4 linked regions of the Lonchura striata genome follow. The protein of the gene in region 1 binds, or shares a complex with, the protein of each later gene. Links are inferred from orthologs where the notes say so. Each region holds a gene or a part of one and is shown in the gene's direction. Other genes may lie near its edges.

What was found.
Region 2: CCNC (region 1) and MED23 share a complex: the UniProt entries of both Homo sapiens proteins name them as parts of the mediator complex. The link is inferred for Lonchura striata from reciprocal best matches to the Homo sapiens genes CCNC and MED23.
Region 3: CCNC (region 1) and MED8 share a complex: the UniProt entries of both Homo sapiens proteins name them as parts of the mediator complex. The link is inferred for Lonchura striata from reciprocal best matches to the Homo sapiens genes CCNC and MED8.
Region 4: CCNC (region 1) and MED21 share a complex: the UniProt entries of both Homo sapiens proteins name them as parts of the mediator complex. The link is inferred for Lonchura striata from reciprocal best matches to the Homo sapiens genes CCNC and MED21.

What each region holds. Positions count from the first base shown.
Region 1 is NC_134605.1:73,824,993-73,831,941, forward strand, and holds the start of CCNC (cyclin-C), read left to right. Parts: upstream 1-3,941; 5' UTR 3,942-4,022; coding exon 4,023-4,054; intron 4,055-4,957; coding exon 4,958-5,064; intron 5,065-6,949. UniProt on the Homo sapiens protein: Component of the Mediator complex, a coactivator involved in regulated gene transcription of nearly all RNA polymerase II-dependent genes.
Region 2 is NC_134605.1:59,766,923-59,774,560, forward strand, and holds the start of MED23 (mediator of RNA polymerase II transcription subunit 23), read left to right. Parts: upstream 1-4,620; 5' UTR 4,621-4,706; coding exon 4,707-4,766; intron 4,767-7,519; coding exon 7,520-7,551; intron 7,552-7,638. UniProt on the Homo sapiens protein: Required for transcriptional activation subsequent to the assembly of the pre-initiation complex. Component of the Mediator complex, a coactivator involved in the regulated transcription of nearly all RNA polymerase II-dependent genes.
Region 3 is NC_134611.1:15,037,735-15,045,217, forward strand, and holds the start of MED8 (mediator of RNA polymerase II transcription subunit 8), read left to right. Parts: upstream 1-4,483; 5' UTR 4,484-4,519; coding exon 4,520-4,525; intron 4,526-4,867; exon of another isoform or gene 4,868-4,976; coding exon of another isoform or gene 4,977-4,979; intron 4,980-7,309; coding exon 7,310-7,428; intron 7,429-7,483. Other genes in the region: KICSTOR complex protein SZT2, read right to left, coding at 1,269-1,400, 3,231-3,401, 3,748-3,921, 4,078-4,203, 4,408-4,437. UniProt on the Homo sapiens protein: Component of the Mediator complex, a coactivator involved in the regulated transcription of nearly all RNA polymerase II-dependent genes.
Region 4 is NC_134607.1:1,479,518-1,487,151, forward strand, and holds the start of MED21 (mediator of RNA polymerase II transcription subunit 21), read left to right. Parts: upstream 1-4,634; 5' UTR 4,635-4,678; coding exon 4,679-4,720; intron 4,721-4,931; coding exon 4,932-5,046; intron 5,047-5,705; coding exon 5,706-5,806; intron 5,807-7,634. Other genes in the region: TM7SF3 (transmembrane 7 superfamily member 3), read right to left, coding at 3,634-3,703. UniProt on the Homo sapiens protein: Component of the Mediator complex, a coactivator involved in the regulated transcription of nearly all RNA polymerase II-dependent genes.

The sequences.
Region 1 (6,949 bases):
TCACATTACCTAACTTAGTGAAATCATAACAAAGGCTTTCATTAGAAGTGACATAACATAAGCTGGAAGGGGTTTTCAATTCCACTTACACTTCTTTTCCCTGTTCCTTCCCTGAAATGTCTCACATTCTCAGCATGTTTTGTGGAAGCTTGATTAAAGTCAGTAAATCTGGTTTTGTACCACTCATTCATTTCCTGAGGGGATATTAAACAGCGGAGGGCAAACAAGAATGCTTATTGTCAGATCTGTGAAAAGATATGTACTGTTTTCAGTTATTAGATGAATATGTAAACATGTGAAAAACCTGAGACTATCTGCAAATACTGTTTTTGTGTGCATTCAAGGGAAAGAGATAAAGAAAATATTGTATTTCCAATTGTGGGGGAGAACCCATGAACAAAAAACTGATCATGTATCATCCTATTTATAAGATGTGGATTGGAAGAAGCATTTTTATGGGGAAAAAAATTTATCCAACTATCCTGCATATATTTATATCTAGCAATGGACTACTAAGTATATTCAATATGTTTGTGATGGTTTTTATTAGGGGGGCAGAGGGGGAAGAGATCAGCAAGAGCTGACAGATAATTTCATCTCACAAATATGACAAAGTATAATTTTACCTGCAGGTTCTTGGCTGCGATTTTTTCATCCTATATCTGGATGTCCCTCAGAGCAGCAGCCAGGTCTGAGGCTGAGCAAGGAGACATCTGCACACACAGCAGCACAGAACATCTGTTTCATGAGATCTTTGTTTGCTTGTTTTGACACACAGACACAGAGGACATGGTAAATAAAGCGATCCTCCACACAGCTCCTGGAAAGGAAAGGTTCAAAAGCAATGTCAAGGGGAAAAAGCTCTGTCCTGTCTTCCCCCTGACATGCCCCTGCCCAAGGAAGCATCTCCCAGCTGGGCCTCCAGGGAGATGGAGTCATAGGGGCATCCACACATGGCCATCAGCACCCCTGCAATTTGGGCCCACACCAGCTGCAGGCCTTGTGGCCTGGCAATTGGCATTCCCAGCATGGCTCAGTCTAGAGGACCCTTTGCCTTTTTGCTCAAGGGATGCTGCAGGGCTGACAATGACCCCCCGCCCCAAGCACTGGGAGCCCCCTGGGCGCCATTCTGCAGGGAGGATCTCCAGCATAGCAGGGTGTCCCCTTGTAGGGCACTGGAGGAACTCCAGCATGGCAGAGTGTCCCACTGCAGAGCAATGTGTACCCCAAGGAGTCTTTGTTTCTCTCTGGTTTTGGGTCTGTGGAGCAGGGAGAGTTTCCCTCTCCATAGCTCTGGTACTGGTGTGGTCTGCTGCAGTGCTGTGAAATGGGGTCATGCAATGTGAGGTCTGTCCTGCTGGGAAAGAGGCAGTCTGGGAGTGGATCTGGCATGAATCTGTGGTGCCAAGTACTCCCATTCCAGCAGTATTAGACAGCCCCTGTGGTGCCAGATGCAGGGCAAGCAGAGCTGTTTCCCACACCTAGTGTGCAGTGCAGCAATGGCATTTATCATAGCTATGGTAAATATCCTGCCCAGTCCCTACTAATATTCTGCCATACTGAAGTGTAAAATCATAGAATTGTTGAAATTGGAAAAGACCTTTCAGATCATCAAGTTAACCCAGCACTGCCAAGTCCACTATTAAACCATGTCCCCAAGTGCCACATCCCCATATCTTTTAAGCACCTTGATGGGTAGTAAGTCCACCACTTCCCTGAGAAGCCTGTTCCAACAATTGACAACCCTTTTGGTAAAGAAAGTTTATCTACAACTTCCCCAGTGCAACTTGAGACCATTTCTTCTTGTTCTATCTCTTGTTGCTGGGAGAAGAAACTGACATCACCTTTCTACAACCTCCTTTCAGGGAAGTTGTAGAGTGATAAGGTCTTCCCTAAGCCTCCTTTTGTCCTGGCTAAACAACCCCAGTTCCCTCAGCTGTTCCTCATAAGATCTGTGCTCTAGACCCTTCACCAGCTCTGTTGCTCTTCTTTGGATAAATTGCAGCACCTCAGGGTCCCAGAACTTGGCACAGTACTTGGGGCACACCCTCTCCAGTGCTGAGTACAAGGGGATCATCACTGCCCTGGTCCTGCTGGTCACGCTGTTTCTGATGTAGGCCAGGATGCCATTGGCCTTCTTGGCCACCTGGGCACACAGCTGTCTCATATTCATCCAGCTGTTGACTGTGCAGAAGCCCAGATCACCACCCAGGGAACAAAACACAGGTACTAAATCAGAGCAAGAAAAAGGCCAGGGTCAGGTAGAGAAAGATGGTGAAAAAAAAAAGAGATGCTCACTTGATGTGATAACCAGAAGCATGAGGTTTGCTGTTATTTTAGTTGCTCTTGTATGTTCAGCGAGGCAATGACAAGCTCCTGTGTTATACAGCAGCCTCTGTCTCTCTCTCTGCTAATTCCTTGGTGCTTGTGCTGTGGGTGGCTGTAATCCAGGGCATTTGCTGGCAATTTGGTTCACCTCTTTGTGACATTGACACAGCAGAGTAAGTTCCTTTTCCCATACCTTGCAAAGTCCGGATATTTTTTGGAGAAAGGTGTCAGGTCAGAGAGCCCCCACAGAATCCCCACAAACCCAGCCTGTGTTTTCAGTCACGTCTCCTTGCACTGAGAAAGGAAAGCTAAAGGGTATGCAAAATGTTTTTTCTCTACCTCCCTCCTCCACATTCCTATGTATAAACAGGGTCTCAAACCTAGAGTCTGTCTGGTGGGTCAGAACAGTGTCTCATTCTGCCAGCAAAGGCATTTAGAAACACCACTGGCTCCATCTGTCCTGCTTCCAGGCAGGACAGGTTTAATTTCTGCTGCAGCCACGAGGGCCAGGGCCAGTACCTAGAGGTTATTCTATTCCACCTCGTGTCATTTTCCAAGGACAGAGCGGGAAAAAGACTCACTTGCAGGCTGGGATAGCACTGCAGAGGGAGCAGCTGGGCATTGATGGGGGTTTCCATAGGGTGAGCGACAACTTTTTGTTTTCTTGTAATTAGTGTTGTTGCTGTTACTGTTAATTTATCTCATTGCTGTTTCCAGTAAGTTGTTCTTCTTTCAGTCCATGATTTTTACCTTTTATGCCTCCAGCTCTGCTCTCCAGCCACCCACAGCTGGGGGGGGGCAAGAGGACAGGGAAGTCATGGCAGGTCTGGAGTAGCTTCAGTGTGAACTCAACATTTGAGAATATAATTTCTAAACCATGACACCAATTTACTCTGTGCATCTTCCCTCTCTGCTTCATAGTTCCTGAATAGAACCTAAATTTCCCTTTAACTTATCCGTTCCCAAGTTTTCAAGTGCATGGCATTGATACATCTCAGATCCCACTAAGAAGCTGAGAGCCACGACAGGAAAGAGCATGGAAGGAAAGCAGGCCCATGCACTTCCTGTTTGCAGTTTAAATTTAGAATTATTAAGTAAATACCTCTAGAGGCTCTCTCCGATGAGGAAAATTCCAGCATGGAGCAAGCTGAGCCGTGAAGGTAAGTAGAAGGGAAATTTAGGTGAGGTGGAGATAGCACAAGACAAGTAAGCTTTGGATCTTCCTGGCTGCTTACAGCAGAGAGAGAGAAGCAGCCAGCTTTGCACGGACAGAGGTTTGAAATGGATATAGGGATACAATTCTTTCCATGGGAAGGTGGTGAGGCACTGAACAGGTTGCCCAGAGCAGCTGCGGCTGCCCCATCCCTGGCAGTGCTGAAGGCCGTGTCGGACGGTGCGCCAAGCAACCTGTCCCAGCGGAAGGCGTCCGTGCACACGGCGGGGGCTGGCCCGGGTTTGGATGGGCCCCCTTCCCGGCCCATCCCGCTCCGTGTCCCGGTGCCAGGAGCGGGGCGGCGGGGCCGGCGGGGCGGGCGGAACCCGCGCGCGGGGGAACGGTTCCCGGAGCCGCGCGTTGCCGGCCGGCGGCGGCGCCGCCTCCTCCTTCCTGCTGCCGGCGCGGGGGCGGCGGCGCTGTGGCGGCGGGGCCGGGGCATCGCGGGCCCGGGCGCCTCCTCCCCGCTCCGCTCCTTCCCATGGCCGGCAACTTCTGGCAGAGCTCTCACTAGTGGGTGCCGCGGCCGCGGGGCGCGGGACACGGGTGCTGCGAGCCGCCGCCGCGCTCTGTCCATTCATTGCCGGGCCGGGCGGCGGGCACGGCGCCGAGGGGAGGCCCGGGAGCGCCGGGCGGGCGGCGGGGCCTGCTCGCCGCGGGACTCGGGCGGGAGCCGGGCTGGGGGCGGGAGCGGCCCCGCTCCGCCGCCGCTCGGGCAGCGCTGGGGCACTCCGGGACAGGGGCCGCGTCCCGGGGTGAGTGCCCGCGCCGCCCCGGGCTCCAGCGGCGGATCGCGGGAGATTGGGTTCCCGGCGCTGGGCAGCCGGGCCTCGGCTGGGGCTGGGCGTTAGGAAGCGTGATTGATAGTGGAACGGGCTGCCCGGGGAGACGGTGGAGTCACCGTCCCTGGAGGTGTTTAAGGAAAGACTGGACGTGGCACTCTATCCCGTGGTGTAGTTGACAGGGTGGTGTTCTGTCATGGGTTGGACTCGATCTCGGAGGTCTTTTCCAACCTGATTGATTCTGTGATTCTGCCCTAAAACACCTCGTGCTGAGCGCGTCAAGGTTTGAATGGTGCCCATAATGAAATGGCTGCAGCATAAACCTTGTTAATGACTGTCAGAGTCTAAAGTCTGTACAGCCAGCTCAGTTTGCTACTGGTAGAGGCTAATTACTCAGCCCCTGGTATTTCATGTTTTGTTGTTTGGGGTTTTTTTTGTTTGTTTGTTTGTTTGTTGTTGGGGTTTTTTTTTCAGTTGTCTTTCGAAAACCCTGACTAGCAGTTGCTTGGGAAGATTGTTTGTGGCTTTGTTAAAGGCCACAAGCCCTTTATCCCTGAGCCTTGATCTGTTTGTATAGGAGACACTTGGTATGATGTTGATAAAGAATTGCTGAAATTATTTTCCATCCCTCTAGCTTACAATGGATTTTGGATAAACAAGATTTATTGAAAGAACGCCAGAAAGACTTGAAATTTCTGACTGAAGAAGAATATTGGAAGCTACAGATATTTTTTACTAATGGTAAAGCTTTTTTTATTTCTGCCATAAAATCTGTGCAATGTGTGCCATGTCTAAATGGAGGTTTGAATTGCTTAGAGAATGTAATGTTTTCATTGTTGTATTGCATATACTTCCACAGCCTATTTTAACAGAGACGTGGAATATAAATAATATCTTAGTTATACTTACATAATTCGAGGAGACCTTGCAGGCTAATTAGCTGCATATATAACATTTTAACCTGTGATAGGACGAAATGGTAAAATTTCTTATTTTCAAGAGGTTCTTATCAAAATATAAAATGAGGAGAGGCAAGCAGAAACTGCTAAGCTAGTGTATTAAAGGCTCAATGTCAAGCATTAGGACTCACTCGGGGCTTTTGGTGGGTTCTTAGGGTAGGGTAAGTATTTTAGGTGATCTGTGCTGTCCTGTTAAACAGCAGAGTTTGGAAACTTGTTAGTTGTGTTCACTTAGATTCTCTGGAACCTGCAACACAGCTTGTATTTTGTCTTCTGACTGATTTCCCAGTACCAGGTGGCTCTCAAATTGTCAGCAAGTTTCTGAGAGCTGTTGCCAGGCAGCCTGTTCTCCCAAAGAATTTGGGACTTGTGTGTGAAGTTGTCTAAGATTTACTTGATCTTGCAAAGCATTTAGCTATCCATATGAATGGCCACACCTGAGTATGTCAGATTACAAAGGCACTTAAAATTTTCTCTGTGGAATTGTTCGATATTTTAAAAAATCTCCTTATGCAAAGGATATTGCTAACTAGTAATTTGTTTGCAAACAGCTCTTCATTGATTTTTGTAGGAGTCCTTTAAAGTACAGAATGCTTATTTTTTTCAGTTGTCTGGCCAGACTTGAGACAGAGAAGTGAAGTGACTTTCCCAGAGCCACTGGAAGATCTTATGTCAGTGGTGGAATGGTATCTGTGAAAGATACCATTGCTTCCCTCTTAGCTTAGTTATTTTTGTAACAATTGCATATGCTATAAACATGATCACTATGGATACCTCTGTGTTACTGCTTACAGGGCATCAGGAAATCAAGCTAGCAATGATTTACCCATTTGATCCATTCCTGAAATATCTTGAGGTTAAAACTAAGTGTCATAATAACTTCATAATGGAGGGTTATGGATATTTCTAAAACTGTATTTCTATGCTGATTTTCGCTAGTATTAATTTGAACTGTGAAATATGCTTTTTAAATGTTTCACTTCATTGTTTTTATTGAATGAACAAAGCTTTACAAAGTAAACAAGTTAGTTTGTTAGTTTTGTTTTGTGGTTCCCAGGGTCTTTTTCCTTGGCACTCCGTGCCTCCCCTGAAGGTAGGTGAGTGACTGGGGGTAGCTGGAGAGCAGCTTTGCCAGCATCTCCCCTGTGCCTGTACAGACACAGCCTACTCTGCAGGAGTGAGTGGTGCTGGGCTTTCTCCCATTCTCTAGCAAAGAAGGCAGGACAGTGCAGGACAGAGGGCAGGGGTGCTCTGTGCTTGGCCAGAGCTCGAAGTGTTCAAGCCCTCAGCATGCTGTATCCTCGACTGCCTCTGAATAGAGACCCTGCTTTGGGTCCCCCCTTGTCTCCCATCTGCACTACCTGAGAGCAGATGAGGCTCAGCCCCAGCATGTCACATTTAGTGTATGTCAGCCCAAGAGATGGTTGTGCCCTAAAGCAATTTAAAATCTGCATGGAGAGGGGCAATTTCCTGCTGCTTCCTCATTGGAAAACAAGTGCAGTAGATCACTGACTGATTATATGGCTCCCTGCAGCTATGAAGAGAAGGAAAAATATCATCTTCTAAAGTAGTTTGAAAAAAAACCCTGATGTTGATTTCTGTGTTTGGATCACCAAGCCTTAACTGATTTTGGTTGAGAAGTGTATTAGTTGTTTTCCCTTTTTGGT
Region 2 (7,638 bases), about 14 Mb from region 1:
AAACCTGTGAGTTGAGACAAAGACAGTTTAATAGGTAAAGCAAAGCCACTCACATAAAGCAAAGTCACTTCATGGCCACTTCACATCAGCAGGCAGGTGTTCAGCCACTTTCAGGAATGCAGAGTTCTACCACATGTCATGATTACTTGGAGAGGCAGACACTATTATTCTGGCCATTTCCTATGCCTTTTTTTTTTTTTTTTTTTTTTTTTTTTTTTTTTTTTTTCTCCAAAGTTTTATCGCTGAGCACAGCATCATATGGTGTGGAATATCAGTTTGGCCAGCTGGGGTCTGATGTCCCAGCTGTGCCCCCTCCAGCCTCTTGTGCATTCCACACTACTCAGAGAGGAGGCTCTCAGTCTGTTTAAGAACTGCTCAGCAACAGCTAAAATGAACAGAATGTGATCCCATATACCTGATTTTGCTACTTTTACCCAATCATTGCTCTAACTTGACATACTATACTGTCTTCATGATGATTTACAATATTCTAGAACATTTTTCACCAATAAAATTCAATTATTAAACTTGATAACTATTAATCAAGAACCCAAACTTTTCTGTTTCAAGATCAACAGCCTCATATGTTAAAAATACTTATTTTCATCCCTACCAAAAGAAAATTCACATTAAAAAAATCAAACAATCCATATGATCAATACATAAGACTAAAAAAACCAATAAGGAAGAAGGACATAATTATCCTTTCTGCTCTCTATTACTAAATCATAACTCTGAGTGACTGTTCTGCATACAGACTGACACAATACCAATGCAGGGTGAGGGTATAAAAAAACCTATTCCCCCATAGTTACACTGCAGTCCTCAGTTCATCTGATACTTTCAGGAAGAAGAAGGTGTTTTCAAAGAACGCAGGCAGGACATCTCTGACATATACATGTTAACAAGCATGTCAGGAAACTGGGGAGGATAATTTCTGAATAACGCTGTGTTGTAGACACTTTCAATATTCACTGCTAAGAAGCTAAAAGTCCTCCAGGGCCATGAAGAGCCAGAAAGACCCTATACACCATACATTCTAAGATATCTTTGTACTCATTTGTCATTTGTCTTCTAAAATGAATAGCACTCAGGAAAAAAACATTTCAAAGTTTAAACATTTTTCTCATAAATGTCATTAAAATGGTCATTTTGATGAAGGTGGTTTTGCTAGAGTAATAGTATTTACAAATAATTTTGAAAAGTGCATTTCTTTTTCTGTGTCTGGGTGAAGAGAGTAATTTCATCCTCACCTCTTCTGCCTTGTTTGGTAAAATGTGTGGCTCTGTTACTCAGTACAGGCAGGGTCTCATAATGGTTCATGCCTTGGCAGATGGACCCAGGTGCAGTCGCTCCAGGGTTAATGGCAGTACGGTTTCTCCCCCTGGATCCTTGGCTCCCTCAGGCAAAGCAGGAAGATCTTTGCTTAGGCCTGACCTGCCCCAGCACCCCTTGCTCCCAGTTCCATCCCAATGAGATTCTCTGCTAAACTCTGACTGAGATAAATTCATCAGGTCCTCAAGTGTGCCCATCCCCATACACACACCCCTCTCCTTTACAATTGTGTCCCATGGGAAATATGATTTGTCCTAAAATAAGAAAACCAAGTGAGAATGGTGCTAAGATAAGAACGGACAGTGATCATTCCAGGAGGAACAGTATGGATATTCCACAAAGACAAATTTCAGAGACAGGGAGGTGTAATGATTTCGACTGACTTGGGCACACATCAGCCTGCAAAAGTGTTTAAACTACTGCTGGAGACTGGGCCAACTGGGCAGACTGGTCTCCCAGGCAGCAGGCAGCTTCCAGGCAGATCCCCCTGTCCTGGAAGGGATGCCTGCAGGGTACATTCAGCCTAAAGATGAGGAACACTCACTTTTGGGCAGGTGAATAAAAGCACCAAAACCCAGTCAGGTAAAGAGATAAAATCCTAAAGCATCTCCACAGGTGCTTTGCCATTGTGAATTCTGTAAGGCCAAAGACTGTAAATCTGTATATTTCCAGCTGGTTATAATATAAGCCGGTTATAGTGCATTTATATATTATTACATGTTTATATTGTATACTAATATATTATAATGTATACTAAATATTGCTTTGGCAATATTTAGACACTGTATTAGCAATAAATCTAATCATAACCATCTACATAATGTGTCATACTCTTTGCGCCTGACCAAGAGCCTTCTTTCTACTACTTTTCTACACAAAGGTAGGATCATAGGTAGCTCAGTTTTGTTAAAATGAGATCTGGTTAGACAAGATGTTAATTCAGGACAGAAATCACCATTTGAACCTCTTTGGGGGTTCAAGACCATTACATGGTTTCAGTTTTAAAATTCAAAATATGGTATAGTATTTGGGGCAAGTTGTAAACCAGGACCCTAACTAGGATTAGACCAAGTCTGTCTACTAAATATTACCATCTAGATTTAGGCTTACATGCTAAGTTCTATTTGGAATGTATGCTGGCTAGTGACTTAAAATCAAGGTAAAGTTGTATTAGGCAACTAATTTCCAGTCCTCTTATGAGTCACTGTGAGAATGGATTAGGAGGTTGGCACAAAATTTGAGTAGACACTTATACCCTGTGCATTGTCATTTTAATAATATATAAGGTAGTCTGTCCTGAATGGACAAATACTGACACTGGGTCTTGATGGGCATTTCAGATTGTTGTGCAACACTCTTTAAATAAATACACAATGAAGAGTACAAAGAACAATTCTTACAGAATAAATAACTTCACGTTAAGACCGAGGGCAGCCCAATTCTAAGAGCAAGACAAGCAAGCACAAGCAGACCTTCAATTGCATCCCCTCTGTTTTCAATGATCATCTGTTACGTACATTTAGTTAAATAATACACATGTAAGCATTATTTCTTTCCTAACCACTGCTGAAAAGAAAGCACTGACTTCAAAGCATCCTGTGCCTGTTGTCTACAAAACACATCTCTTCTAGCTGTGCAAGCACGGATGCCACACGTATCACTGTCCTCTGTTGTACTTCTTAAATTTACTTATAACATTTCTCATTGTTTATGTCATGTATTCTTCCAGGCCTATTTACACAAAAGCTGTTTACATTTAAAACAAATAATTGTCTATCCAATTCCATGTGAGTGTTTCCCCCACTCTGCTATTTTCCACTCAGCTCCAAGCCTGAAAACGTTAATTTTTCACTGCTCTGAGGCCTCTGGTTATCACCTTGATAGTTGATCAGACAGGGAGTTGATCAGCTTTATTTTTCTGTACAAGACGTAAGTTTGTACCTGTTTACCAGTACCAGCTGCATGTTTGCAGCTTAACATCCACAGACAGCTCAGAAAATAAAGTGTCAGCATCAAACACACACAAAATTTTAGCACTGTCTTGATTCAGCATTTTACATTTCTTTCTAGTATAAAAACATCTGCATATATATACACATATAAATATAATGCTCTCTATCAGATAGGAGGCTGTGCAGAGGTGTAGGTCAGCCACATCTCCCAGGTAGCAAGCTATAGGACAAAAGGAAATGGCCTCAAATAGCAACAGGGGAGGTTAGATTGGATATTGGGAAAAAATTCATCACTGAAAGGGTATTTAGGCATTTGAACAGACTGCTCGGGGAAGTGGTGGAATCACCATCCCTGGAAGTGTTGAAAAAATGTGTAGATGTAGCCCTTGGGGACATGATTTGGAGATCGGCTTGGCAGTCGAATTTGACATTCTTAGAGGTCTTTTCACAACTTAATGATCCCAAGATTCTAATGTAATACTCTTGTACTCATTTTTAAATGTAATACTATTGCATTTTACTGTGTCCAGCTCTGCCGAGAGCAACATGGAGCTGCTGGAGTGGCTCCAGTGGAGGCCTAAGAGGATGACTGGGGGACTGGAGCACTGCTCTTATGACGAGAAGCTGAGGGAGCCTCTTCAGCTTCGAGATAACTGGGAGGGGAACTCATCAGTGTCTATCAGTATGCGAAAGGAAGATGCCGGGATGGAGTTAGGCTCTTCTCAGTGGTGCCAAGCAACAGGACAAGAGACAACTGGCAGAAACTGATGCACATCCTGCAGAACATGAGGAAGAACTTCACTGTGCAGGTGATCAAGCACCAGAATAGATTGACCGGAGAGGCTGTCAAGAACTACCCGGATACAGTTTTGTGCCACGTGCTCTGGGATGACCCTGCTTCAGCAGGGAGGATGGAGCCGATGATCCACTGCGATTCCTTCCAACCCGACCCATCCTGCAGTGCTCTGATTCTGTTCTCCTGGATGTCTTTAGATAAACGCATTTTCAGATTGTTCTATGATTCACAGTAATTACACCAAACTGGGCTCAAGTAGAAACAGGGAGAGAAGCGGCTGGAGATCAGTCCTGCAGAGAGAGATCTCATAATAATGAGATCCTTACACCCTAATGCGGCTCCTTGCCGTAAGAACCAGAGCAGCATTTCGCCTAAATATTCCCCCCCCAAAAAAAAATTATTCAAATAAAATATTATACAAAAACCAAAGAAGCCTAAGCGAATATTTTTGCAAAAAGAAAAACAAAACCAAGACTTAAGACGCCGTCGCTTTCCCCACGTTGCCCGGAACGGCGGGGCCGAGCAGCGGCTTCCCGGGGAGCGGGATCGGGGCGCAGCTTCCGGCGGGAGGAGCGGCGGGAGGAGCGGCGGCGCCGGACCACGGCCCGGGGCCCGCCGGCCCCATGGCGATCCCCATGGTGCCCATGGAGACGCAGCTGCAGAGCATCTTCGAGGAGGTGGTGGTGAGTCCGTCCCCGGAGCGCCGCCGCTGCCGGGGCCGCCTCCGGGTCCCCGCGGCCCGCAGTGCTCCCTCTGGGGTGGGGAGCACCGAAGGAGATGAAAAGCCAGGTGGGAGAGGTGCTTTTGGTTTTCCTGGCGCTGTCGGTGCGGTGCAGCCCCGCCGCCGACCCCGGCCGTGTTTGCTGCTCCCGGCGGCGGCGGGGCCTTGGGCTTTGTAGGAAGGCTGGGACAGAGGACCGGCCGTAAAACAGCTTGCGTAGCCAGTACCGAATCACAGAGCGCTGAATTTGCTGTAAAATAAGCAGTCTAAAGAGTTCTGCAGGAGCCTAGGAGAAGATGGATGTCCCGAGTAGGCGAGACAGCATAATGGCATGATCGGATTGTGGGAATGCACACGCACAATGCTGCCTGCAAAACGAAGCACAGTTAACCCAAATGCTCCCTCCATTTTCCATACGACATTCTTTCCAGCATTCTACCCAGCTTTGCTGCCTGCCCATGGATGCATTCAAGGCCCCAGAACTGCTCACAGAACTCGAGGTGTGGCCATACCAAAGCTGAGTGCAGCAGGATAATCACCTCTTTTGTGTGAATGTTGAATGGGTTTGATGCATCCCAGGATGGGATTTGCCCTCCTGGCTGCTTGGGCTCTCCCTGCTGGCTCACACTGAGCTGCTGCTGAGCAGCACTCCCAGATCCATTTCTGCAGGGCTGGTCTCCAGCCGCTCCTGTCCCAGTTTATACTTGTGCCCAGCAGTTAACTCTTGTGCCCAGAGTACTTGTTTGTACTCTGTCCCAGGTACAGACTCTGGCATTTGCTAAATTTGATGGCACTGATTGCTCAGTGCGCCAGTCTATCCACATCCTTTTTTAAGGCCTCTCATCCCTCAAGAGAGTCAACAGCACCTGCCAGTTTAGTATCATCAGGAGGTTTGCTAATGGTGCATTTACCTCCTGCTGCATTTACCTCCTGCACCATTATATAAATATACTGAACTCTAGGAGCCCAGCGGAACACCACTGGTGACCCATCACCAGCCAGATGCAGCCCCACTGACTGCACCCCTTTGATCTCTGCCCTCCTGCCACTTCTTCACCCAGCACATTCTGAAGCTGTTTATCCCACAGTTCAACAGCTTGTCCAGAAGGATGCTATGAGGGGTAGTATTAAAAGCATTATCCAGAAAAAGTACTTCCACTGCCTTTTCTTTGTCCTCTTTAGGTGGAGAGGACAAATATCTGTCTATCATTACCTTATAAAAGATATTAAATTAGTTAAAGATATTAAATTAGTTGAACAGGACTTTCCCTTTGTGAAGCCAGGTCAGTGGGTTATTAATCACACTTGTGTGGAGCACAAATGAATGAGCTTCTTGGTAGATAGGAGACATTCACAGTTGGAAACACTGGGGTGACAGGAGCTGATCCTGAATGGGAGCCTGACTGACATTTCAGACAAAAAATAAGCTGATTCAAATGTCTGAAGTGGAAAGAATCTGTAGATTTCAGAGAAAGTGAAAATTATTTCCATGTGATGAATTTCAGTAGAGGAAAGAAAAGCCTAACCATTCTGTTTTAAGCTGGCATTATAAAATGCATGATGTACTTTTCTTTATGTGGTGTTAAGTTGCTTGTAGCATATCAATTGCCTACATGTGACTGATTCCTCATTTTGGCCATTCAGATTATTTTCACATTTTTAATGTTGTCATTTGCCTGTGTTGTCACGCTACCTGGTTTTATGTACTGTTATTTGTCTAAGATTCATAAGGAACAACAACAAAATAGTTCCTGAGAAAATTTCCCTGTATTTTTAGAGCCATAACTGATAAAATAGCAACTTACTGCTTTCCCTGCTGCTGGTACGGACTTGGTGGTCAGCATCAAACTTTACCTTGCTTTCTGTGCAGATCACATGAGTGTCAGCTTCTCCTTTGCTTCTTGAGTAGCAGTGGCAGACAATTCTGAGCCAAATGATGGAAAAGGAACACCAGCAAGTTGATTTTGTTACATGTTTCTGTGTCTGTAATGTAACAATGAAAACACATAATATCAGTGATAGATCACACCTGAGTATAATATGAAATTCTTACAAAAAGTAGGAAAGGCTTTAGGATAATATTTTCCAGAACCTATTTGCTGAAGTTCTAGAATAATGATGTAGAAGCCTTTGAGCAAAATGAAGTTGAAAAAGAGGGGGAGGGGGTAAAGGAAGGTCTTATTGAATATTCATATTTGGTTTTTTTATCTAGTACAAGACCATTACATTATTCAGTCGAATTTAAAAAGCAGTGGATCTAAATTTGGATGGGAAAGTAATTGTATTTAATTGATTTGTGTAACTGAATGTCATGAACATAAGAAGGGCAAAAACTTAATGGAATTCAAAAATGCTAATTTTTCAAATGATGAGAAGACAGCTGTAATAAGACAATCAACTTCTCCAGCTTTGGGAAGTGAATTGATCTCTAGATGTTTAGAAGACCAAAAAAAAACAAAAAACCACAAAAAACAAAACACAAAAACCAAAAAAAAACCAACCCAAAACAAAGAAACAAAGCCTTCATCTGGATCCACAACTTTTATATGTCTGTGTGAAAACAAAACAGTCTCATCTTTGGAATAGCAGAAGACACCTATCATTCTCTGGTACAGACCCATAACAATTGACTTTGTCTTTTGTGCTTCATCCTGTGGCCATGATTGTCATAGAAAACCTTCTAACATTAGCTCACTTGGGGTTTTTCTCTTACAGAAAACAGAAGTAATTGAAGAAGCTTTTCCTGGGTAAGTGTAATACTGTTTTATTTGTGAAGGTTTTGTGTGTAAATGCATTTTTCTACTTGTTTCACTGGGTACTGCTAATAACTAATG
Region 3 (7,483 bases), on another chromosome or scaffold:
CTGCTAATGCTGAGAATAGCTGAGACCCCTCCCCCTCCTCCCTCAAAGCTACAGATGATTGAAGCTTGTAAAACAAAACTAGAACTAACTAAACTTTTGCTATGCACAAATGGGAGCACTCCGTGCCTGTGAGCGAAAAATATTGACTGTCCGTCACTTTAATTTGCCAGATGCCTTTAATTCAGATACTTTTTAACAATGATGCAGCAAGTGCAACTTCAAAAGTGAAAAATGTTTCAGTCCCTGCCCTTCCCCTGGGGCCTCCACCTCCACCCCACAGCCTGTGGCAGGACTCGCCAGTCCCTCTGGCCTGCGAGAGCGTCTCTCTCCTCCATTTGCATGGAAGAAGTTACAGGGTAATTTACCATGAGAGAAATATTGCATCAAGCAGGAATGTATACAAAGCTCTGCAAAAACACCATCTGGACTCACCGGTTGAGTTATTTACTTCCGGCAATCTACTTCCTGTTTCAGGACCAGCAGTTTAGCATTGAAACATACAAATTTCTGCTAGAATATGAGATTCCAAGCACTTCAGATATGCAACTGCAATACATCACCAATAGCCTCTTGGTCATCTGATTCTGGGACTTTTTTTTTCCTTTTTGCCCGAACTCTAATAACTACTGCTAACTAAGGACTAAATAACCTTAGCCAGACCAGCAATGACTTTGACTGCAAGATCAAAAGCAGCATGGCCAGCAGGTCAAGGGAGGTGATCTTTAAATGTCCCCTCCAACCCACACCATACTAGGACTCTATCATTAATTTGCTGATACATATAGCCATGGCTATTAAGCAGCATCTGTCATAGATTTCAAGGAGTTCATGAAAAAAGTGGCTGTTTATTCAGCTTCATGGCCAGTTTTCATGGTAAAAAATAAGTATTTTTATTCAAGAAATGTAACAAGGGCATATTCACAGCTATTTATAGATTAATTATATGGACATAATCACCTCTCCCACCACCTTCTTCAGAGAGAAAGCACATCCTACCATTTCTCCTATAACATACAGCCAGGCTGTCTTAGTACACATTAACTTTGGGGGAGGTAACCATCCTCACCAGTCCTTCTCAACACTTAATAGTTCTGCTTCCTCAGTGTTCATGTCTCATTACTGGATCCCACAACATTATCTCACCAACTCCTTAGCTGTTCCTTCTGCAGACCTCTGCTGCTTTTCCTCTTGCCACCACACTTCAGCGGGGCCTCAGAGTGCACATCTCCAGGAAGCCAAGAGAGCCCAGTTACCTCTGCACTCCTTACCTGTGGTTTGGGTTCATATTGTTGCTGAAGCATCTCTGCCACTTTGTTTTCAAAGGCACAGAGCTGTGTGTAAACTTGGTGCAGAAAGGCCTCACGCTTCGTCTCATCCAGCTGACAGCCCTGGAATAGTACCTGGCCCAAAGACACACGTGTCAGTCACCAAGTCAATATTTTACAGCACCAGCCCTCAAGATGGTGAACACAGTGCTGCACAGTAAAGGTCAAACACATCCCTGACAAAGCACAGGTACAGCACAGGCCACTTCTCTCTGTTCCTGCTCAAAAATAACTGCGTGTGAGCAGTGGTACCTCATGGCAATTGCCGTGCATCCCACAGCAGACACCTACATGACACTTTAGGAAATCTCCTTCTTGGGCAAGAAACTTCTACTTCATTTGACTTTCTCCAGGATAAACAGTTATTAGGAGAAAGTGATGTGGGATCATTGTTAGAAACCATGAACTGTAGTCTGATGCTTCTACGGAAGGCCTGCTTCTTCTAATCTACCTTACCTATAGACTGATTAAATTATCTTCCAAGGGGAACAGTAAATTGAAATAAAGAAAAGAAGCAATTAGAGTGGACATTACATTAGAGTGGCTTACAGAGGAAGCCTGCCACCACAGCAACTCCCCAGGGTGACAGGCATGACACCTGTGTTTACAGATGCCACCCTGGTACAGGCAATCCCTCAGTCCCTGTCCACAACCAGAGACAAAGAAGATACAACATGCAGACAAAGCCCTCAGCAGATTGGTGGGGTGCTGCATGTTATCCACATTCCTCAGCCTCATATGGGCAAGACCTCACAGTGGCACAGGAGAAATAAATGATTACCACAGAAAGTCTTTCCTGGATAAGTGATACACACAATACACCTTTTCCTCCATAAAAGAATAATTATCCAGCTGTTCCCAGAGATCACAGTTCATGGCCTCATATACAAAGTGGGAATTTAGGGAGGTCCAAAGAAGAAAAATCTAGCAACTTCAGAGTGCTCAATATAGTGTAAATAGGGGAGATACTGAAGCACAGCATGATGGTCTGCAGGCCAAGATGACACATAATACATCAATGGCAAATGGAGAAATTCCTGCTACACTTACTCCAGCAACACCTCAGAACAGATCAAAGTGATGGCCACACTCCTCATGTACAACAGAAACCCTGGCAGAAGGCTTAGGCAGGGAGGGCTGGGGAAGGGGAGAGAGGGAACAAGCATAGACTTATAGGCTCCTCCTGTTACCAAGCACTTCCCCTGGTATTAGCAAAGGGATGAAATACACGACCATAAACACATAAGTTATGTGAAAATACTGTAAGGTAGAAGAGATCAAAGATGAACTTCGAAAATAACACTGGCCCCATAAATCAGACTTGAATTTATTACACAGACCTGTCACGACACAAATAAAATCTCACTGATAAATCTCAATACTGGGGCTGGCTGTTCCCTCCAGCAAGAAGCAGCATATTCAGATCAGTGCAAAAATAAGGTTTGTAGGAAGAGACAACTACTTTTGCATTAACCACTGCTACAGAGTTGGAACAGGGAGACAAGCTTTTGGTCATACAAGCTCTTCTTGAATGCTTCAAGCTAATTAAAACAGGCAAAAATAATTAATCAACAGAAATTAAAGACAAAAACAACTCCCAAACAACAAAACAAGAACAACAATAAGCACACATTCGACATGAGGCAAATATTCCCTGTGGTCCAATTCTAAGATCATGCCTGAGGGCAGCATTCTCCACACAAACCTCTGCTTCCTGCCCAGGAAGGAGAAGTTGCTCACACACACTTCTGCATCATGCCAGGCCACATGTTTTAGTGAGACAAGCCTGCAGCATAACAGGCAGCAGAGCCCAGCTGCCACCTCCCCGCTTTCCTTGTGCTCCCAGGACACCCGCACAGCACAGCGAGCTGCTCACGCCGCGCCAAGGGAGAGCCTGAGCTTTACCTGGTGGGACTGCAGGCCAATGATGGAGGAATACACCTGGATGGTGACAAAGATTTCTGGCTGGTAGATAATGTCTGAACCAGGGATACGAAAGGGTCTTAACAATCCCACCAAGCATCGGGAAAGGGCATGAAACACTTCATCAAAAATTATCTCCCCCGTTGAGTCATCCTACAGAAAGAGAGAAAGGGAACAGCTTTTTCATCTCCTAGGACCCTCAATTTCACTGTTGGGTGTCCCACTGTGCAGAGCCAACAGCAAACATCCTTCTGCAACGGCAGCTGGATTATAGTGACAACTCCTGTGAACAGAAGTCACACATTAAGCATCCAATGGAGAAACAGGATTTGCCATTAAATCCCCATGCAGGGGCACAGTATGGTTCCCTCCCGGGAAAAACAAGACTTCTATAAAAGCTCAGACTGACACCGAGAGCAATAAACCTTTCCTCAGTAAATACAAATGGGTTTCTGTTTTAATGCAGAACACCCCAGAGAGAGGCAGTTTCTGCTCTTACCACAATCCCCGTGGAAGGGCTCAGATCAAGCTCAATCACAAATCGGTACTGACGGGCCAGGAAGGTGACCCGTGTAGAGGGGACCAGGAGGTAGGGCCTGGGCTGGACCGGCTCGTCTGGCTGCCACCCATTGGGCAGGATGCTGAGAACATCGAGCTCGTTTTCTGACTTCACCTGCCAGAACAAGCAAACGGCACATACGAGAACATCAAGCCACACCAAAGGAAGAAGCAAAGAAGAGAAAGGGGCTCAAATGCTCTGCAGGGTGCAGGCGCTGCTGAGCGGCGCAGCACCAGCGGTGACACCATGCAGCCCCGAGCACCAACTCACCAGCTCGGGCTCGGGCACGGCCCGGATGACCTGGTGCAGGCGGCTGAGGACCCAGGCGAGCCGCACGTTGCGGGAGATGCGATAGTCCTTCTTCATCAGGAGGAACACGTGCCCTGCCTCCTCCACCTGCGGCGGGAGCACAGCGGCGCGGGTCAGCCCCGGAGCAGCCCCGGCCAGCGCCCGCGCCGCCGCTCACCCCGGGCTGCTCCGGGCCCGCGCTGCCCACGGCGGCCGCGTCCCCTGCGCGCTCGGCTCGGCTCGGCTCGGCTCGGCTCGGCTCGGCTCGGCTCGGCTCGGCTCCCCAGCCCCGCTCCCGCGGCCCGCACCCACCTCCCCGTCGGGCCGCTCGGCCGCCGCCATGTCGCTGCGGGCCCGCCCCGGAAGCGCGGCTCTCCCGGGACAGCGGGGCGGGGCCGCCGCCGCCATCGCCGCCGCCGCCGCCATGCAGGTGAGGGCCGGGGAGCGGGGCCGGGGAGCGGGGCCGGGCGCTCCGCGGGGCCGCGCCCGCCCGGGGCTGCGGCAGCCCGGCCGGGCGGCCGAGCGCGTCCCGAGCAGCCGCGGCGACGCTGCGCTGTGCCATGTGCCGTGCCCCTTGCTGCCGCTCCGCCGTCGCTCCGCCGTGCCCCTCGCTGCCGCTCCGCCGTGCCCCTCGCTGCCGCTCCGCCGTGCCCCTCGCTGCCCCTCCGCCGTGCCCCTTGCTGCCCCTCGCTGCCGCTCCGCCGTGCCCCTCGCTGCCGCTCCGCCGTGCCCCTCGCTGCCGCGGGCTGTGGGGTGAGAGGGTGCGCGGCTGAGCGCCCCGCTCCCGCTTGGACGGAATGCCGCTGATCGAGGAGAACCTCGTTACTTTATTAAGAGCTGTGAATTTGTAGCATCCTTATTGTCCAAAGAAAAGAGCATTAATGGTAGGTTAGCAGGCTGTAAAGATCCACCTCCTTTGGTTTGCTTGAAAGCGTAGCCCGCTGGCCTCATACAGATCTGCTTGTCCCGCTGGAAAAGAAAGTGAAAACAGATTGTCCCGCTGTTCCTTGTTTATAGGGTTTGTTACATCGGCTCTCCTTGTTTCAGCCACTTCGTCATGCCAGTCTTTTTCACTGGGTTGTTTGTTTGTTTGGGTTTTTTTGGGTTGTGGTGGTTTGTTGTATGTTTTGTTGTTTACTTTTTTAACTATGAATATTCTTCACCATCCTCATTGCTTTTATCATATTCCTACTCTATTCCTTTTCAGTTCGGGGGACAAGAGTGACATGTTATATTCGAGATGCAAAGGAGGTGCACCATTTATATGGTGACATAATGATGCTTAGTTTCCGTAGCTGTCCTAATAACTCCTGTAGTCACTTTTACTTCTTTGACTGCTTTTCCAGGATTGGGATGATGTTTTCATGGGTTACCCTCAGATAACCCTGAAATCTTTTTGAGTTACAACCTTATCAGCTCAGATAATGTCATTGTGTACAGAAAGTCATGGGGTTTTTTTCCCCTTTGTTTAGCCAGTCAGGATTTTTTTTCTCCTTTGTTTTGATGTCTGCATTGTTTTACCTTTACCTACTCTGAATTTCACCTTTCCCTCTCAGTTGCTCAGTATCAGGAGGTCCTTCAGAACCCTTACCATAAGCCCTATCTTTACTACCTCAGGCCAATTTAACATTGCTAACAAACTCCTCAAAGTGTCCTCTTGGAGGGGTCAGTCTTACTGTGTTTATCTTGCACTGCTTGCATCTGCTTCCAGATCCTGATGGCTTTGGGAAGAGCCTAGGGAAGGAGGGTTGGAGTGCTCTGCTGCCATGAGAGTGCTCCTTGTGCAATGGGGTTTATTCATCCTCTTGAAGGCTTCTTGGATAAGCACAGGTGGGGGGCCAGGGGAATTGCTGTGGGTGCATATGCCTGGCACCTCTGCAGTAAAACGCTGGCTACCAGCCCAGCTTGTAATGCAGGCAGTAGTTAACCTCCTTGCACAAACACTGCACACAAACTGTTGCAGGCACATTTCTTAATTGGACAGGAACTGACTAGTCCCGTCACAACATGTGTGTGTGCTTTTATCTCTAGGTGGAACAACCAGCAGCAATCTGTTCCATGAGTCCACTCCTTGGACTGGGGATCAAATTTTACTAAGGTTGATTCAGCTGTTCTAAGGTGGTTAAAGTGAAATGAAGTCCCATCAGTGATTACCAACTTGTCAGAGTACAAATAAAATAGAATAATGTGTTCTCGTGAACATGGAAGGTGCCTGATAATCTCTCCATGAAGCTGACATTGGGCCAGTGTATTTGAACGGAACAATAACAATTCCAATAGCAAGCATGCCAACAGTGTGAGTCACTCTATCTGCTTTCCCAATCGGTATTCCCTTTCTATTATTTGATTGCTTTGTCCCACCCTCCTCTTGGATTATTGTACAGTTCTCTACTTACTCGAGCAGTTCCTTAGGGCTGGAACTTTAATTATGTTTTGCACAATACTGTAGTATGAGTAAGTTAGAGTAGATAAGAGTTTAGAGGGATTTTGCAAGAATCAAGGGCATGCCTTGATGTCTTTGGCAACACATCCCCAGTCTTGACACTTTGTCTGTCACCATCCTCCCTCACCCGGAAGGGGATGTCAGTGGGGAAGATTTCTTAAAACAATGTAATCCCAGCAAAAGGCAGGATTAAAGTGTGTGTGTGGGTACAGTGCCAGTCTGTGTTACGGCAGGGCCTCCCACAGCCCACGGGGCACAAGGCCAGGAGGAGCTGCCAGTTTCCTTGGCAGCTGGAAGTGTCACATGGGCAGAAAGAAAGTAAAGATTGGCAGAAACTTTATTAGTCCAGGGTCCATGGTACTCATTTTGCAAAGACTGTTTTGGATAAAGACATCACAGCACCCACAGCTGCTTTAGAAAAGGCTGAGGGAATGCTAATCTTCTTTGTTCTGGGTTAGCTTAAGTGGTTTACAAAGGTGGCATGAGCTAGTTTTGATGACTTTGCTTGATGTGGTGTAAGTGATGATGTCTTCACTCACCTAAATCTTTAACAGGACAGCTGGCCAAGCGTTCCTCTCAGGCACAAGTCTCTTGCCTAAGTAGTCTGACCCTAGGGAAAGCGGTCAGTGTGAAATAGTAGGATTTTTATCTCCAGTGCCCCTGCTTCCTTTGAAGAGGAGGCTGTCTGTAGGACAGATTGGATCATGGATGCATGGGCGTGAATTCACAACATTTTTGTCCTCCTCCCTTGTCTGTCTTGCCTTTTTTTAGAGAGAGGAGAAGCAGCTGGAACTGACCCTGGAGGCACTCATCAGTCAGGTGGCCGACCTGAAGAATTCCTTGGTCAGTTTTATCTACAAGCTGGAGAATGAGTATGACCGCCTTACATGGTAAAGTGTCTCACTGTTGATCACTGCCCAAGCTCTTCAGACAGGAGATTATCTT
Region 4 (7,634 bases), on another chromosome or scaffold:
GATGGTGAGCAAGACTAATTGATTAAATTAACCAACTCACAATTCACCAGGCCTATTCCTATCACCAGTTCTCTGGTTCTAATACCAGACAGGTATTAGACTCCCTGAGCCACAGAGAGCTCAGTCTTGTCAAACATCCTTTGAAAGGCACAGAGACCTCAACAACCACATAGTGCTGGTCACAGCATGCAATCTTCTCCTTTGGGCAAGCTTGACCTGCCCAGAGGTGGCCCACCAGACAGGTCTGCAGGACCAGCAGCACAGTTAACTCCACCTCACAAGTGAGAGAGTTGATTCAGCAAGTCAGCAACAAAGATGGGAGCAAAATCCAGGCATCCCAACTTGTTTTATTGCTTCCAATGGTGAAGGCCTGGACACGCTCTAAAGGTGTCAGGCTATGCTCTCTTCCTTGCCCTATAGGAAGGACTGTAACAGTCACTACACATCAGAGTAATTTTGGGTTAGATACATGAGAGGAACCCAAACTGCTACAGAGCTTATCAAATGAACAGATGCTGAAAGGAAGTCAGCATTGCTGAAACCAAGCAGCAGCAGAGTGGAGAGGGAGCACTGAGCATGTATTACTCCATAAACAGCACCAGGGCTGTAGCACAGATAGCCCTGCACACAGAACTGGTGAACACAGCAAACAGCCCACTCTGTCATCCCACAGTATCTCTTCTCCCACATGAAGGGCAAAACCGGTAAAGACAAGAAACAGAACCTCCTGGAACTCTTCTGAGATCAAAAGTCCTTATTCCTAACTCTAAACAACAAGACAAACAACTCCAGAGCCTCTGCACTTGTTATCCCTTCCCTGTGACACGCTTTCTCCAACAGGCTACACCCAGCTTCAACTGTTTCCATTGTGCTGATTCAGTGCCAAGCTCTTGGCTCCTCTGATGCTTTGAGAAAACCACATTTCCAGCTCCAATAGCCAAGTGTCACTCCCTACCACCACAGAGCAGTTAACCACACAGGGTTCTTGATTACAACCAGCAGTCCAATTTCCAGTAAGAAAAACAACTGAAGAAATGCCCCTGCTGCCCATACAGCCATGCTCAAACATTATCCTTCTCTCAAAGAGGTTCTGTGCAGTCAGAGAAAACACATTTCTACTGGGTGTCAAGCACCTTGCAGTGGATATGCAGAATAACCTGATGTAAGCAAGCTCCAGGAGCCAAGGAGAACTTTCCAGTGCAGGGAGTACAAGTAGTCACATGAAGACATTTAATGAAGATGAAATGCAAGCTCAGACTGACAACCAGTTTGAGTAAGAAAAACATTAGCATACAGTTACTTAACAGAATAAAGCCTGGAGCCATATCCTATCAGACCTGTAAGGCCATGCAGACACAGATAATGGGAGAGTCTGGCTACAGGGTCTGTCTTCCCACACTACTGAGCCCCCCTCCCCCCCAAAAAAAATACAGCACCTACCCTATTCCCAAAAGAAGCAGAAACATTTCTGAAAGCTTCTAAACTTTGATTGTGTGTGTACTGAAACTCATGTTTAGAACAGCTTGATACTTAAAGCAGATGACACCACAGAATGTGACTTGCCACCATCTGCACCATTCCCATCCCAGAGGACTATTCTGTTCACCAGGCTAGAGGTGTTTTACCGCCTGAAAAGTGAGGGAAGAGATTTGTGTGAACATCTTATTGTAAAGTATCATCTCTGCATAGACTAAACAAGTTTCACCCAGATAAGCTCCCTTTACAAAAGCACCCCTCAGTCCTGATTACACTATAAATTCACTTTAGTTTTTCCAAAACTAAACAGCCCACTTTGGATGTAGCAAACACGGCCAGCTGAACTCCTCCTCAGGAAGACAGAACTCCCTGGAAGGCAACAATCAGTGCAGAAAACACTTCTGCACAAAGACTAAGTTTGAGGGGCCGCAGCCCATCAGAAGCCCAGAGAGGTTACACAGGCCATCATGCAAAGATTTTACTGATCAGCACTTTTAAAATGAAGCAGGAGCTTCAAGAAATAGGAGTTAGCAGAGCCCATCCCTGAAAAGTGGGTGCCCACAACTGAATAACCACAAGACAATTTCAAATCAGTGAACCATTAAGCAAGTGGCCTTTTTTAAAGGCCCTAATGATCAGCTAGACTCTGGTACACAAATTACACAGCTTATTAGCTTTTCACAAGGGAAATACTTTCCTCCCCTCCACCCTCATTCGTGCAAGGAAAAACAGCAACAGGTTCCTCCAAGGCAAAGCAGTTTGCTTAGTCTCATAGTTGCTTTGCCTTTTTACATAATGTAGAAAAATTACTCAACACATGACCCAATTTCATCAAGTCTAGGAGACAAACTGCTTGTTAGCATCCTTTAAGTTATCTTAAGGACATTAAGGTCTAAGAAAGCAGAGCTTTTATTCTCACACCTGCTTGTGACCATCAGGTGCCCAGCCAAAGCTTTTAGGTCCTGCAAGAAACAGGGAATATTTGGCTCTCCATTAGGATCTTGGGCATGAGACTTGGGCAGAGAGAAGCCTTCCACACCTGAGACTGATTCCAAATGCTGTCCTGCAGCCCTGCAAAGTATCCAAAGAGTCTCCTTTGGACAATTAAGCTTCATTCATTCAAGGCCAGGTTGGGTGGGGCGTTGAGCAACCTGGTCTAGTGGAAAGTGAACCTGCTCATGGCAGGGGGGTTGAAACGAGATGAGGTCCCAAACCATTCTATGAGTCCATGGTTAGAAGCAGTACAAAACTAAAGCAACTAAAAGGAGGAGGCTTATATCAGCCCTGATAAGAAGGACTGCTTGCTTATCTTTGAATTATCTCTGAGAGGAAACTGTTTATTTTTTCCTTTATTTGAACAGATAAGAGTTTAACCAGAAAAAGAAAAAAAAAAAAAGAAGTGACTGTAAATCTTCCTGAACTATACTTATTATAGCACACTTAACTCTGGACTCCTATTTTAGTCACATGCAGGAACACAGGGAAATTACAAAAAAAGCCCATGCCAAATAAAGTCAGATTACATCAGTACGGACAGAAAGTAAGTTTAGGAACCAAGCTGCAAATTCCAAATTCTAGGTTTTACCCCTTTCCCTAGTTTTATAGCAATAGTGGTTTTCAACCCACCATCCACTAGGGTGGTGAGAACCCATGAACACCTGCACATGGTCGGGGGATAAAGGCAAGCAAACCAACCCAAATCGCCTTTTAGCTATGTCAACTCACGTTCACGAGTGGCCAATGCCACCTCGTTTCTGTGCGAGGAATACAGCCCTACACCATCCGCATCACCTGCTCCGCACCCCCGCGGCCAAAATCATTCTGAATTATCCATGAAACAGTTACAATTATGGCATTTACGGCAATTAAGACGTTTAAAAAAAAAAAAAAAAAAAGCGGATAGGGAGGGAAAGGGGATAAAAAAAGAGGGTGGCTCTCCTTGTCCGCATGAAAGATGCAGACAAGCAGGAACACACACGGCGCTTCTGCAGCGCCGCGGGGAGCTCTGCCCCGCGCTCCTGCGGAGGGCAGGTGGCGGCGGGGACAGCCCCGAAGGCTCCGCGGCGGCAGCGAGCCCGCGCCGCCGGCCGCGACCGGGCACGGCCCCGCAGCCCCCGGCCCGAGCCGCGCTCCTCCGCCCCGCTCCGCCGCCCTCACCTGAGGCTCCGCCGTGCCGCAGGACCCCCGCGAGCAGCAGGAGCAGCGCCGGGCGAGCCCAGCCCCACATGGCGCTGCGGAGGGAGCGCGCAGAGCGGCTGAGGCCGGGACAGGCCGGGCGCGGCGCGGCGCGGCGCGGGGCGGGGCGGGGCGGGCGCCGGGGGCGGGCGGCAGGCGGGGCCGCTCCGGCCCGGCCGGGGCGGGCGGAGGGGAGGCGTTTGGCCGCGGTGGCTAAAAATCCTGAAAGTGCGCGGTGGGGTTTGGATCGGCAGTGTGGGGTTTGGGGTTTGACTTCAGAGCGTGAGCAGAGCCCAGATCGTCACCCATCCGTGCCGTCGGGAAAACACTTTGGGCGGATTGTTTGTGTCGTTGCTGCACCCGCAGCATCAGTGACAAGGCTACAGAGTGGTTATTTCCAAAGGCGTGTTGTGACAGGGTAAGAGAAATGGCTTCAAAATGAGGTCTAGACTGGATATTAGAAGGTATTCTTCCCTATGAGAGTAGCACAGGGAAGCTATGACTGTCCCATGCCTGGCAGTGTCCAAGGGCAGGTTGGATGGGGCTGGGAACAACCTGGGATAGTGGAAAGTGTCCCTTTAGGAAGAGATGCTCTCTAAGGAGAAGGCTGGCATTGTACCCAGCTGTCAGAGGTAAGAAAGATGGGCACAAACCGACTGGCACGAATGGCATTTATTCTCCAACCCCCGGGCTCGGGGGCCGGGTGCTGGCTCTGATTTGGCTCGTTGGGAGCATTACACTCTGGCTGTTCCCTGCTCACATCGGGGCTGGAGCGGAGCACCCGAGCGCTGCTGCAGCCTTCAGCTGGGCTCAGAGCGGCTGCCGCACAGCAGAAGCCGTGGCAGTACCCGAATGGCGTAGCTTTGAAAAGACCTCTGCGGTCAGCGGGCGCAGCCGTGCCGGGCGGCGCCGGGCGCCAAGCCCCGCCTTCCCCCGGACGCCCCGAGGGGCGCCGGCCGCCCGTTCCTCCCGGCCGCCAGGCGGCGCGCGCGCCCCGCGCCTCAGGGGCGGCGGCGGCGGCGCGGCCATGGCGGACCGGCTGACCCAGCTGCAGGACGCCGTCAACTCGGTACGGCGGGGCCGCCGCCTCCGCGCTCCCGGGGCCGCGGGGAACGCCGCGGGCTCTGCGGGGATGCGGCTCCCCGCCCCGGGCGGGGGCACGGCGGCGGGTGTGGGGTGCGCGGCCTGCGCGTGGCCGGGGTGCCGCGCGGTGAGGCGGGGCGGCCGCAGCGGCGGGGCAGGGCGAGGAGCCAATTAACCGCGTTAATTGGTGCCGGCAGCTCGCGGACCAGTTCTGCAACGCCATCGGAGTGCTGCAGCAGTGCGGCCCGCCGGCCTCCTTCAGCAACATCCAGACGGCCATCAACAAGGACCAGGGCGTCAACCCCACGGAGGGTGAGTGCGGCTGCCCGCGTCGCCTGCGCGCTTCGGGAGTGCAAAGCCCCTCGGCGAACAGCTCCCCCGCAGCTGCGGGAGGGCTGGGGATACCTCGGGGTGGTGTCGGCTGCGCTTTCTGCGTAGCAGTGTTGGCGTTCAGGAACACGCATCATCACGGGGGATGGTTATCTGCAGGTGCTTTTATTGAGAGCCCTGGGAATCAGCGGTACAGACTCAAATCTGACTCCGACATGGCTTTCGAGCTACACGTCTTTTATATTCTATCCTTATATAACTTACATATTAATTATTAAACTTATATTGACTTTATTCAACCATGAGTTTCTCGTGATCTTTGTTATGCCCCTGACTACAGTTTCTCATGATTATTCTTACGATTAAACAGTAATTATATTTAATTACTAAACAATCATCACATCTAACAACTATATAATTTATCACGTACTAGCTACACAGGTGCAGTTCTAGCAAGGTACAAGACCTTCATGTACCTAGGGTACTTATTTTTTTCAGGGCCTACTAAAATTAATTTTCTTTTTAACCCTAAATCCCCATGATTTTAAAACCCTTTTACTATCAACAGTGTGGCAGCAGAGTTGTGCTTGTTTCTAAAAATTCCCCGAGTGATTGGCTGAGTTGTGCTGTGTTTTGTGCAGAGTACGCCCAGCTGTTCGCAGCTCTGATCGCTCGCACCGCCAAGGATATCGATGTTCTCATAGATTCCCTGCCCAGTGAAGAATCCACAGCAGCTTTGCAGGTAGGAGTTTTCATAATTCTGACATCAGGATGCTCCTGAAGGCAAACTTCCTTCTTTTTTTTTCTTTTTTAACACGTTTTTTCATCTCTAAGCCATGTCACCATTGAAAAATGATTTTAGTACAAACCTGAATTTTTTACAAGGGCAGCCTAAGCGTGCTTTGTAGGCTTAGTGGAAATAGTGACCTTGCATCTAGTTCCAAATAAGGTTATAATCAATGACAATATTTTAGACTTAGTTTTCTGTTAAAATGTAAAAAAAAAGATGGTTTTTCACACCACCACTGCACTGGAAACTGCTCACCTTTTTTTTCAGATGTTAACAGAACAGATATAACAGTACTGATGCTCTGTGCATTGTTTTATTCGTTTTTTCCCCTTGGGTTATATTTCATATTTTCTCACATTTCATTCTGTAGCTGCAGAACTAATGCTACAGAAGTCTTTTGTTCTGCCACATTGTTTCTGGTTAAAGAGCTTGCGGGGTGTCCTTTAGGTTCTTCAGCTCTGTCACAAAATAACTCCATCACTTTTCGATAACAAGGATTCTTCCTTTGAGCCAATCAAACTTGTTTTGGGTTTTTTTTCCCTATTTTTTCGTAGATTTTACCTGTTAAAACCATCCTTTTTTTTTTATTATTTTTCTTTGTGACTCTTAATGGCTGGATTTACATCAAGTGTTTTCTCTTTGGAATGCATAAAGGATGCTGAGTGCTGTTTCTCTGACAAACCTGATGATCACCTTTAAGACCACCTAAAAGTTTTAAACTTGCATTGGTAGTTTGTAACTGTTTAAAAGTGTTTTACAGAAGATTGACACTGAATAAGCCAAAGAGAAGAGACATGGCAGTGGCATCACGTTTGTTTTAAACAGAGGAGGTTAAATTTGGGAACTTCGCTAGTCGCAGTAATTGCTAAACATCAAAATTGGGCTCATTAACACTGGCATAATTTCCTGTAAGTGCATTTTTAATAGCTGAAGATAGAATGCCTGCTGCAGACAAATTCCAGTTTGTTCCATGACTGAGCAGAGTCTGATCAAAGTGGCAGCTGGTGTGGGTAAAGCAGGGTGCTCCAGAAGGAGGAGCTGGTTATCCAGTAAGGATATGCTTTCCTTAGAGGTGATACTTCAACAGTTTCTTGCTGTCTTAATGAAGAACTTCATGTCACAAAAATTTCAGATCCTTTCTATATGTTATGGTTTTAAGATAAATTAGCTTGGATTCCATCACTTGGATTCCAGTTTTGATTTTTATTTTCTGTTGCTTAATTTGGTGCAGTATTAAATATTCTGATAGTCTTCAAAGAAATGGTTTTAAGGATGCTTGAAACACTCTCAAATATGCACTATAGGTTTAGTTGAGAAGTGGTAGATAATACTCGTTTAATACAAATCTGCTTTTTTTATACTAAAGTTGTCTTGGTGTATGTTTCAGATCTGAGTCTTGTCGTAAATTACAAAAGGAGCTGCTACACAAATGCTCAACACAATTTACCTGCCCCTTGTGAAGCTGACAGTACAAATTCTGCTCTAATCTGTGGATTAGCTGCAGTCAACTATTAAACAAGAGAACATTTTTCTTTTTAGGGAGAACCAGTTCTCTCATCATCCTTCAGTAGCAAAGTCACTTCAGGATTCTGTTGAAGATCCTTGCTTTTCCCTGTTGCCCAACATCAAAAGAGGAAACTCTTGCAACGGTGTTAAAATAGTAAAATAAAAAGCAGGCCTTTATTGGAAGCTTCCAGGTGTCCCAATGATCTTGGTCACACCCAGCATCAGATTTCTACAATTTTATGAGTTTAACAAACTAGCATATCTAATAAATATT